3 linked regions of the Schizosaccharomyces pombe genome follow. The protein of the gene in region 1 purifies or fractionates together with the protein of each later gene. This does not show direct contact. Each region holds a gene or a part of one and is shown in the gene's direction. Other genes may lie near its edges. The genes, in order: pfh1, ubr11 and rpc25.

Region 1 (3,757 bases):
TCCGCCACAATCGTTGTGTTTGATAGTTTGTTTTTCCCAAAGACAAATTATTGAAAATCGAACAAATAAAGAGGTTTGTTTCGTTTAAATATCCTTTTTATTACTTGTTGTTTTAAAAGGTTCCTTATTGGTTTCATCGTTTTTCAATTGTTTGTATAAATCACATTTCTTGCCGTTTGTGATTTGTATATATTGTACCAACTGTTTTCTTTCTTCAGTCTAGACACATAGATATATATTCGCATATATATAACTAATCAGCTTCTCTCTTTTCTTACACTTTCACTTAACTTTTTGCTATATTTTCGAATTTGAATTTTTCTTGCCACTATGGTTACCACCGTTGAAATGTTAACTACCTGGAACCCAGTGACCGTTTCCTTGGTTTCTCCTGTCATCATTTACTGGGTTGCTTCTGCTTTCTTCGGATTTTTGCATTACATTGAATTACCTGTCTTTGAGAAGTATCGCATTCATCCTCCGGAGGAGATAGCCAGACGCAACCGTGTTCCTCAGATGGCTGTTGTTAAAGCCGTGCTTTTCCAACAACTTTGCGAAGTCGTCGTTGGAATCGCATTGGCCATGTTCGAGGGCTATCCTGAACCCATTGACGAGGCTAAGCAAATGTTACGCTACGAGGCTTTCTTCAGCAAGAATTTGCCTGCTTTGTTACAAGTTGCTCCCTTTGCCCCTAAATTGGCTTATAACTTTATTGTTCCCGCATTCCAATACTTCTTTGCTTTCTTCATCATTGACAGCTGGCAATACTTCTGGCACCGTTACCTCCACTACAACAAGAAGCTCTACAACATGATTCATGCCCATCACCATCGTCTCCAAGTTCCCTATGCTATGGGTGCCCTTTACAACCATCCCTTTGAAGGTTTGATTTTGGACACTTTTGGCGCTGGTGTTGCTTATCTCGCCGCCGGTCTTTCTCCTCAACAAGCTGTTATTTTCTTCACCCTTTCTACCTTGAAGACTGTTGATGATCACTGTGGATACGTATTCCCTTATGACCCTCTTCAAATGTTCTTTGCCAATAATGCTCGTTACCATGACCTTCATCACCAACCTTACGGTTTCCAAAAGAACTTTAGCCAGCCCTTCTTTACCTTCTGGGACCACGTTTTGGGAACTTACATGCCTCCCAAGTCTGAAACTCCTTACGAGAAAAAGCAAAAGGCTAAGAATGCAAAGAAGGTTAACTAGAAATTACAAAAGTACATGTGCTCTGTGATATTTGCATTTTTTGAATCTTTCTTATCCTTAGTACTTCTGCTGAATCCAATATACTGTTTTTTTTATATTGAGTTATAAATGTTTACTATTAATTTTTTCTCATTCTTTCTAGTTTCTTTGTTTGCTATTTTCATTTTTTTTGAAATTTTATTAATCTAATTGTTCTTCCTTTTAAATTTGTCGGTAGTACAAATCGATTGGCAATCCTTACTGTTGAAGTTATCCCTCCTATGACTCTAGGTATTTGTGATAACCGTAACCTTGTATTTTTATGTTATTTTCCACTTCTAAAGTCTCTTTAAAACGGGATGTTTGACACGGACTGCTGAAGAACACGATACTTACCTAAAGATGCATGTTTTTGTGTATCTTTACCAAAGTTGGTTGGTCAACGAATTTAAATCGTTTGTCGCTCATTATTGAATTTTCGACTTAGTATTGATTGTTTTAGTCTACATACAGTATATAATTTATTAATTGATAGCATTTATTATTTACAGACTTCCGAGGATATGGTATCGTAGACGCGTTTTATCAAATATTATAAAATTAATAACTTACTGTAAACACGGGTTAATATTTGCTTCGATTGTAACATATTATAACAAAAGTCAATTTATTTGCATTGCATTGCATAGGCCCCGAAAGCAAATTATGCAAGTTATACTTAAGGAACGACTAATGTAAAAAGGACTTTATGATAATTACAGTATTGAATGATAAAAAATTTGTGCAAAAGTTGTGAAGTAAAAAACACGTGCCTGGTGGTGACAGACGTGACGCGTCTTGACATACGCGCTTTCATTTGTCTCGTCCACTACCACCGTAAATTTGATTTTTATTAGTATAGCGCTTTCATTTCTGTACCTCCTTGTCAACAGCCGTTTCCTCGACATTGACAAATTTCTTCAACCGGTATCCCAATTAATACAATCAACAAAGGGATACTTCCAACTCTTATGTGCTTGGACCGCTTATCATAGGTGTTAGGTCGAGGTCGCATAAGTCAGTAGCAGATTGTTGTTTAAATTCAAACTGAAATTGTTTTCTTGTTGCTTTTCTTCGATCAAACAATTTTGGGTGATCTATTTCGTTTACGGTTTCTTTTTTTAGACAACCTGCGTACAGATCGCCTTCCAGTTTCTTGAAGTAATTCGATGAATGTTTTCGTGCCAATCTCTTTATAAATTTAGTCACTCTTTTAGGAAACGTATCCCCGTCATGTTTCAAAGAGCTCAGCAGAAAAGCAGCTTGCTTCATACACAAAACGAGTCATCGCATCAACCCTCCTTGAACAAATTGGGCGGTTTTTCGTCCGCTTCTTTAAACTTCAATTCCTCTCGCTCCTCTACTAATGATGATCAGCAAACATTTTCTAGCCAGTCTGATAACCTTCCGTCATCTCCAATAACCCTACCAGCCAAAAGAGGTCGTTCTGCTGCTAGCTTAAAACAACTTGATAACACCGTGGGATTCGATGTTTCGAAACCCTCACTGCCCGTTTTTGAAAATTCTGGCTTGGGTAGTAAATACTCCACTGAAATAGCGAATGGCGTCTATATTGATGAAAATGACTTTGATGATGATCTACTTTTAGAAAACGATATTGACCAAAAACCAATTCCTTGGTCTTCATCCCCTATCGAGCATACTAAGTTAACTAAATCAATGCTCTCGAGCGAAAAGCGGTCAAAAAATCATCTCTCAAAAATTTACGAAGACCATACTTCTGAAAAAGGCGCAAGTAGCGTAATATCTAGTAATATTACGAGGCAGGGAATAAAACGCTCACGAACCCTTCCTTGGGCAGTGGATCCTTACAGATATGGAGATCCTGATCCTAAAAGAACCAGCACTTCAGCTGATATCAGTCAACACACTGTATCTAATGATTCTTCAAATAAGCTTAGCAATGGACGAAGCAGTTCTTTGGATAGTCTGGCTAAAAAACGCATGAGTAAATCTAAGTCTACCCCACAGATATCTAAAAAATTTTCTGTTCCTTTAAACTCTGCTTCCAAATCGCCAATAGGATCTTCTTTGTTTAAGACAAGTGATTCTCGTAAAAAATCTGTCCCTAGCATATTCCTTTCCGATGAGCAAAAAAGAATTTTAGACATGGTTGTTGAGCAACAACACAGTATATTTTTTACGGGCTCTGCTGGAACAGGTAAATCTGTTCTCCTCCGAAAAATAATTGAAGTCCTAAAATCTAAATATAGAAAGCAATCTGACAGAGTTGCTGTTACCGCTTCTACAGGCTTGGCAGCCTGTAATATCGGCGGTGTAACACTTCACTCCTTTGCTGGGGTAGGCCTTGCTCGTGAATCTGTCGACCTCCTGGTATCTAAAATAAAGAAAAATAAGAAGTGTGTTAATCGTTGGTTGCGCACCAGAGTTTTGATCATTGATGAAGGTAAACAATTTAAGTGAGTTTATATTTACTAATAACTATAGTTTCTATGGTCGATGCTGAATTAATGGACAAGTTAGAAGAGGTTGCGCGTGTTATTCG
Region 2 (3,757 bases), on another chromosome or scaffold:
GGTTTTTGAGGAAATAATTAAATTCAATATCCAAGGCTGATAAATCCATGTATAAATGCTGTTTGTTATTTATTCAATTTATACTACTGATGCGGCTTTGCGCATTTGCATTGTATGCATCTTTGCTTGCAACACTAAGTAGCGATTTCTCGCTTGGCTACATCTAACGTACGATTGATAATTTATTAGCAGAAGAAACTAGGGTAGTGTAACAACATACTCGAATGATAAAAGTCGTTTGATTAACCTTAATGACAAACGTTTAGCAGAGATATTCAAAGTTGGACAAAGTGTAGCAAGATAAAAGTAAGCGATAGCTGCACCTATTCAATTAAAAAAGCTTTGATTGTTGCACTATAAAGCGTAGTCATATAGTGGTCAATACCCTGAACCACTTTGTATGAGAAACTAGGTATTGGAAGCAGAAAATGAGGAGAACTCGGATATTAATACCTATTCCATTTTTGCTATGATTCAGTCAAGCTAATATGAACGACATTCATTTTCTGGCATTCATCATACTTTCAATATTGGTCTTGCCTTTACAATTTATTAAGTGATTTCTTTCCAGCTTGTATCTGGTATAATGTTGTCTTATTCTGTAAATCTCACTACCCGATCGCCATCTTTGTTCCAGAGAAAATAAAGTAACTGTATTATACTTGCTATTTTATGTTTCAATATTATACTACTTATGTGCTTAAGAAACACTTGACATTGTAAATATAAGAAAAGCACACTAACTTACCACTTTCTAAACAACATATTACATATTACTAATTCAAGAAAGCCGACAACAGTCGCAATGGTGTAGTTGGGAGCATGACAGACTGAAGATCTGTTGGTCATCGGTTCGATCCCGGTTTGTGACACTTTTTTCCTTTTTCCCTAAAGAAAGATCAGCAATAATTGTTGCTAAATTTATTTTAAACACACTAACTATTCCCGTCATGTGCCAACTTAATTAGTTGGAAAGAGTCGAATTTAGCCTCCGTGCTCGGCAACAATGTAAGAGCAATTGCTTTTATTTGCTAACAATACTGCTGGAAAACTAATGAAATTTAAATAAACTATTCCCATGAAGTAATATTTATTTCTTTAAGGTTATCTATTATTTTAAAGCCTTTTTCAACATTTAACCCATTTTTCAAGCCATCAACTTTTGGCCCTACTTAAAGTATTATAGTATAGTATAGTAAAATATAGTGTGCGCATGCTACTGTTTAACCTTGATATGATTTCCATGGGCCCGAAGTATTCAAGCGCTCATTAAAATCTACTATGCACTGCGATAACAATATTTACTTTGAAATCTTGGGGTGTTAGATAATTGAGAAGTTTGGGTAATTCAAACTCGATGGAAAATTATCACCCAAAGGAAAAAATTTTAATTAGATTAAAAAGGATAAATAGTTTAAGAATCTCGAGCTGGATTACTCTAGGGTGCATATCTCTTACTTTCCAACTCATATGATGGTGATTCCTATCTGGCAAAGGATGAAATCAAGCCCACTAGATCGAAACGAAAAAAAGCAATCAACACATATTAACACATATTAAGAAGAAGGAAATAGGAAATTGAATTGAAAGTAAATGGCTTTAAAGAGTTGACTACAGCTGATGAATTTATCAAGCTGGTGTCATTTTTTGGTATCTTCAATTGGCTACTGATACAAGAAAGGTGACGATGTTACCTGAAAGTAGTATAAATGGATTTTTGGCAATGGCAAGAAGTAACTCGCCATTTAGGTATACAAATCAGAAATATTAAGAAGGAACGGTTTATAGCTGCCAAAAATATTTTTAGAGAAATTTGTTTCAACAGAAAAGTTTAAAGAAGGTAAAGGAGGATTGGAGTTTGCTTTATTCAACTGAATGCTGTTTCAATTACTTCCCCAATTTTCTGTTGATGAAAATTTGTATATTCCGTGGCTTTAGCGTGCCTGTTGTTTATTAAATAGCTTTTTTAAACCAATTTAATTATTGAAGAAAACTTTGCGGCCCAAGATCTACTTCACAGAACCTTTCCTATAATTTCATGCAATTGCACGACCCGCCGGCTCCTCTTTCGCAACCATCGGCTTCTAGGTTACAAAAATACCTTCTAGAAAGCGCGGAAAAGCATGCATACGATTCAAATGAAGAATCAAAAACGCACTTGCTGCAAGAGGTTTTCCTGTCGTTGCTGAATTACAACGAAGACAATTGGAAATATTTTCTCAAAGAAAAGCCAGGTGCCATTACTTCTGACTTTCGTCTCTCGAGGCTTCAGCACTCTGAACCCGAATGCGCCCAAGAATTACAAGATAAACGTTCTGGGTCCAAGGTTTGTGGCCACGTATTTCGTGCCGGCGAGGTGATATATCGTTGCAAGAACTGTGGGCTAGATAACACATGTGTTCTTTGTGCTCCTTGCTTTCATGCCACAAACCACGAGGGTCACGAGACTCATGTATCTATTTCAACCTCTTATAGTGGAATCTGCGACTGTGGCGATCCTGAGGCATGGAATGTCGACCTTAACTGCAAGATACATAATGTCCCCGATGACGAGGAGCAGAAAAAGCCAGAAGAAGTGATCCCACTAGAACTTCAACACTCTATCCGTACAACTATTCATATTCTTCTTGACTTCATTCTCGATGTCTTTTCTTGTTCCCCCGTGAATCTTAAAGCTCAATCTACTGTCGGTAGCATCTTAGCAGATGAGGAGGCCTCTCGTCTTAGCAGCGCAAAGTATGGTGTAGCTGATAGGCCTTGCAACGTTTTCCGTGTAATGCTTTGGAACGACGAAGTGCATACCTTTGACGCTGTTGTAGGTAGTGTGCTTGAGGCGTTAGATTCGTCAAATACGGCTTTTGGACTTGAAGTCGCTCAACGTGTTGATTCTATTGGCCGCTTTGCTGTTGCTACATCGGCTTCAGTTCACGAAGCAATAAGAATCGCGAACGCTATTTCAAAAGAAAACTTAGCTGTTAATGTTCGTACTGCCCGCGATTTTTTTCGCGAAGATATTTGTGGTATTCTATTAGAATGGTTCGATGATCTTCTAGAATCACATGTTTGCTATTTTGCTGATTATTTACAAATTATCGTTTGCGATGAAATTTTGAAGAACTGGTCTCCTGGCCTTGAAAAACCTGCTAAGCCTGAGGTGAATTTTAATAACCTTCCTCTGGAGATTGTTAATGACGATGATAGCGAGGATGATATTTATGCCGCAGAAGAACTTCTCGATGTTATCGCAAACCTTCAAGATGAAACAGGTGTAACTAGAATTGCTAATTTGGGTGGTGATGAAGATTTTGAAGCGGATATGACCGATCCTACTATTGCAGGATTTGATCATCCACTTGATGATGATAACGACGTAAATGACCTTCTGGATTTTGAAACAGAACGAGAGGATATTGATGATTTAACTGATGAAGTTATGGAGACAGAAGAAAATGAAGCTGCTGAGGCTGATTATCCTGGTGTAAACCGAAACACTCGTCAAGACGATGTTCAAGATATTTCAATGGAAACCGAAAGTCAAAACGAAACTGATGAATCACAAAACACTGAAAATGTAGATTATAATCCTCAGACGCATACTCCTGTACCTATTCCCACTACTGCAACTCAGGATGTCGTTACTATTCGCCCGGAGTTTAACTCTCAACTCCTTAATAACCTTCGACAAATCATAAACGCTCGTCGTAGACCCCGCCCTGCTGCGGTTTGTCAAGTATCTCTTCGTGAGGATTATTGGAAA
Region 3 (3,757 bases), 980 kb from region 1:
TGTTTAGGCTTAAATTTTTAATACCATTAGAAGATTCATCCAATGGATCTTTGGCATCCGCTAAAGCTTCTTTCGATTTGTTCTGTTTTTTTTCTTTTTGGGAATCAGTATTCTGTTTTTCTTTAGCTCCAGCTTTGGAACTAGCCTTTTGCAAAAGATAGTTGACTGATTTCTCTACGTCAAAGTAATAGTACCAAACTGTATCGGCAATTTCTTTTTCTGAAATAGGAACACCTAATAATGTCTCCCTTACTGTGGCTACAGCAGACCTGAATTCCTCTAGATATTGTTCGTTAATATTTTTAAGAAATCATTTACTAACCTTCCTGCTCTTCAGTCAATTCTTCCTCTCCTGGCTCCTCGTCGAGTTCATAATCTAGAAAGACGTTAAAAAAAAATACAAACTATTACAATATCAAATGGTACGAACCATCAAGATCAAGATTTTTTACATCACGATGCCTCGACATATTTTGAATTTGTTATTTTTGCCAAAAGTCAGAAACCAATAAATACTTCTTGTTTTAAAAAAAATGGTTTCTATTGATAAATAATAAATATATGTATAATATTTAAGTTGGCATTTGACACTTTGCTCTAGAGTAAATTCTTGGAAATATTCATACATCATCAGCAGCTTTAGCGAATTTTAGCAATGTCGCTATACTGAATTGAGTGCTGCAACAAGAGTTGTTAAAAATTCTCAACTGTAACAACTGAGTGTTTTAGGGTGGATGCCTTTTATTAAGCCGGACCGGACCCATTCTATTCATTATATAGTAAATTTCTCTCATTGTCTTCAAATGTTTTATGAACTATTGAATTCGGATGAGTAAGAGTAGGGAAAACATAAGTCTGTTTGTAGTGTCAAGTATCAAAAGTTGTTAAACATTAAATTCAAAAATTTTGGCGTTCATGTAACAAAATGAAATATTTAACTTTTTAATGACTAAAAAATGATTTACTTAAGTTTTCTAAACTATGCCAATATTAAAGTTAACAGAATCGTCAAATTTTCAGGAAATTTTAGTATGCCATACTCTCGTTAGATATGTTTGCAGCAATATTTAATTAATTATTTTCCTTTTTTTTATCTTTAAATACTGCTCATAGATATTAACAAAAAATGTTTATTTACAAATATGCTAGAATTTGTAAATAGAAAAAAAAGCTAAAATAGCTAATAATTTTAAAAAATTATTTAGTAGTTCGATTTTCAAAGAATTCTTTCATTAATTATTTGTTTTTACTTCTTAACTGCTCATGAGCATGTATATCGACAGAACACTCAACAATCTTGTTATATTCATCCTTTTAACTATTTAAAATTTATATTAATTCTGTAATAAATTTGTATGTTTGAATAAGCGATTGAAACTTCTACTCATTATAATTTTTCAATTGTAAACAATATTTCATGGATTTGTCTTAAAGCTACTGCGCTAAAACTTCACTGGCCTCGCTAAGTCGTTTAACACGCTTTTCATTAGATCGTTAACTCGCCATGAATGGTCTGGTATGCAACATAATCTTCGTATTCATATTTTTACGCGACCTGGCAAAGAAAGCTGGGCTTGCAGTTAAATTACTTTTTTGAAAGGTTCCTTTTGATTTATGCAAAGTTGTTGACCAAAAGGTTAAGAAATATTTTTAAATTGGATTGTGATCCACTGTTGTATTTCTAATTATTTATCGTTCTATTCAAGTTAAAGATTTTTTCTACAAGGTGGTAAAAACTACGAGTAATAGCCGTTTTATTATTTATGTTTCTCTTGAGTCGGTTTTCAGACATTATAAGCATCCATCCATCCAATTTTTGGAAGCCTACAAAGGAAGCACTGGCTGAAGAAATCCATAAAAAGTATGCTAACAAAGTGATACAAAACATTGGACTGGCTATTTGCGTTTATGATTTTTTGAAAATTGGGGAAGGAATAATTAAATACGGAGATGGCTCTTCATACATGAATGGTAAGTATAAGTCTGCTCACTTTATTTCATATGCCAATTCGCATTATCAATACGAAAGGCTGTCAGGATAGTGATTCAGTGGAAAAGAAAAACTTAAATGGTTCTAATTAGATTAGTGGTTTTCCGCCTTATAATCTTTCGTCCTTTTCGAGGTGAAGTAATGCTGGGAAAAATAAAATCGTGCAGTGAAGAAGGTATTCGGGGTATGTTAAATGTGTTTGTTTAAATGCTTGTTGTTAATGTTTTTCTCCCAGTAACTATTAGCTTTTTTGACGATATTTTCATTCCGAAAGATATGCTTTTCGATCCATGTGTCTTTCGTCCGGATGAGCGTGCCTGGGTATGGAAAATTGAAGGGGAGGACGGCTCAGAGGGAACCGAATTGTATTTTGACATTGATGAAGAAATACGCTTTCAAATAGAATCTGAGGACTTTGTTGATATTTCACCTAAGAGGAATAAAAATGCAACCGCGATTACAGGCACAGAAGCATTGGAATCGGTATCCCCATATACATTGATTGTAAGTTTTTTTTTTTATGTTTAGGGCGAAACTTGTGTCATTATTTATGAAGGGTGCACCATCTATTTGCTAGTATACAAGAAAATATTTTCTGCTTCTCTCAAATCGATAGAATTTACTAACTATATATTTAGGCTTCCTGTTCTCGTGATGGACTGGGCATTCCTGCTTGGTGGAAATGAGCTATTGGATTCGAATCAAAGTCAAACAAAATTTAAAAGCATCAATTAATCATTTACTCCAAATTGTATAAGTAGACTTTCATTCATGTTCTATTTTTCTTCATCTAATGCATCACCAAAATTTCCCAAAAATCACGTGGTCTAGAAAATGGTTGCAATTCTATTCTGTACATTCATCCCGTCTTATAAATTTCATTGCCGAAGGTTTTTGCACAAACCTTTTGGGGTTTTATTATTTCGTTGGAGATACCTGTGTTGTTTTTAGACATGTCCTACTTAAAGGTTGCTTTTAGTGAAAAAGGGTTATTTATAAATCAACTACTTCTTTTTTTTTTTTTTTTTTTAGCTTTTCTCTATTTAAAGGTATATTATTGTATCGAAAAATCAGTTTGTTTACATCTTTGCACAGCAACACATAATGGTTATGAAAACGGCGTTCTTCAAAATTTACCTTCTTGGATGATCATGGTATTTGCTAACAGGGGGCTACTTTAATAAAGGTACTTTCATGTCAAGCTTAAATTTAATCTGGTTAAAAGAGTCATATGTTCTAAAACTTTATATTCAATCTAACAACTGAAGATTCCGCACTGCGTAAAGGAATTTTTCAATGTTAAACAAACGATCCATGCTATGTATGATTTGATTGATTTTGGTATTGTGTATACTAATGTTTAGTAGTATTACCGAATATGGAAAATTTAATTAATTACACAAAAGAGCCGATTCATTTTATAGCATAATAGAATATCAGTCTACTTTTTATGAACAATGTTTGCTTCTTCAGCAAAGAATGTCCATCGCCAACCCACGTTACTCTTTAGTACAGCCGATTTTCGTTATATGTCAGAAAATAGCAACCTTAACATTTCAGCGCCTTGCTATTTGCTATTTGAAAATGACCAACAGCAATTTGACAAACTTCTAATTTTGTTGTATTTGTGCACAAATGCATGGACGTTATAAAGGATTCTTTCGGCTACTGTACTACTTTAGGGATAAACGAATATTTTTGCAAAATTAAAAATACACATACCCACAAAATCATTCACTTTCTTACTTCTAGTACTATTATTAATTT

Evidence for each region.
Region 2: the proteins of pfh1 (region 1) and ubr11 purify together in Schizosaccharomyces pombe (affinity purification with mass spectrometry, with the first as the bait; one study listed by BioGRID). This does not show direct contact.
Region 3: the proteins of pfh1 (region 1) and rpc25 purify together in Schizosaccharomyces pombe (affinity purification with mass spectrometry, with the first as the bait; one study listed by BioGRID). This does not show direct contact.

What each region holds. Positions count from the first base shown.
Region 1 is NC_003423.3:3,568,835-3,572,591, reverse strand, and holds the start of pfh1 (DNA repair and recombination protein), read left to right. Parts: upstream 1-2,115; 5' UTR 2,116-2,403; coding exon 2,404-3,658; exon of another isoform or gene 3,659-3,699; coding exon 3,700-3,757. Other genes in the region: sphingosine hydroxylase/sphingolipid delta-4 desaturase Sur2, read left to right, coding at 331-1,212.
Region 2 is NC_003424.3:3,700,757-3,704,513, forward strand, and holds the start of ubr11 (ubiquitin-protein ligase E3 Ubr11), read left to right. Parts: upstream 1-1,735; 5' UTR 1,736-2,038; coding exon 2,039-3,757.
Region 3 is NC_003423.3:2,591,177-2,594,933, reverse strand, and holds the start of rpc25 (DNA-directed RNA polymerase III complex subunit Rpc25), read left to right. Parts: upstream 1-1,548; 5' UTR 1,549-1,763; coding exon 1,764-1,971; intron 1,972-2,011; exon of another isoform or gene 2,012-2,087; coding exon 2,088-2,174; exon of another isoform or gene 2,175-2,225; coding exon 2,226-2,494; intron 2,495-2,628; coding exon 2,629-2,676; 3' UTR 2,677-3,311; exon of another isoform or gene 3,312-3,357; 3' UTR 3,358-3,757. Other genes in the region: hbs1 (translation release factor complex GTPase subunit), read right to left, coding at 1-279, 323-376, 431-470.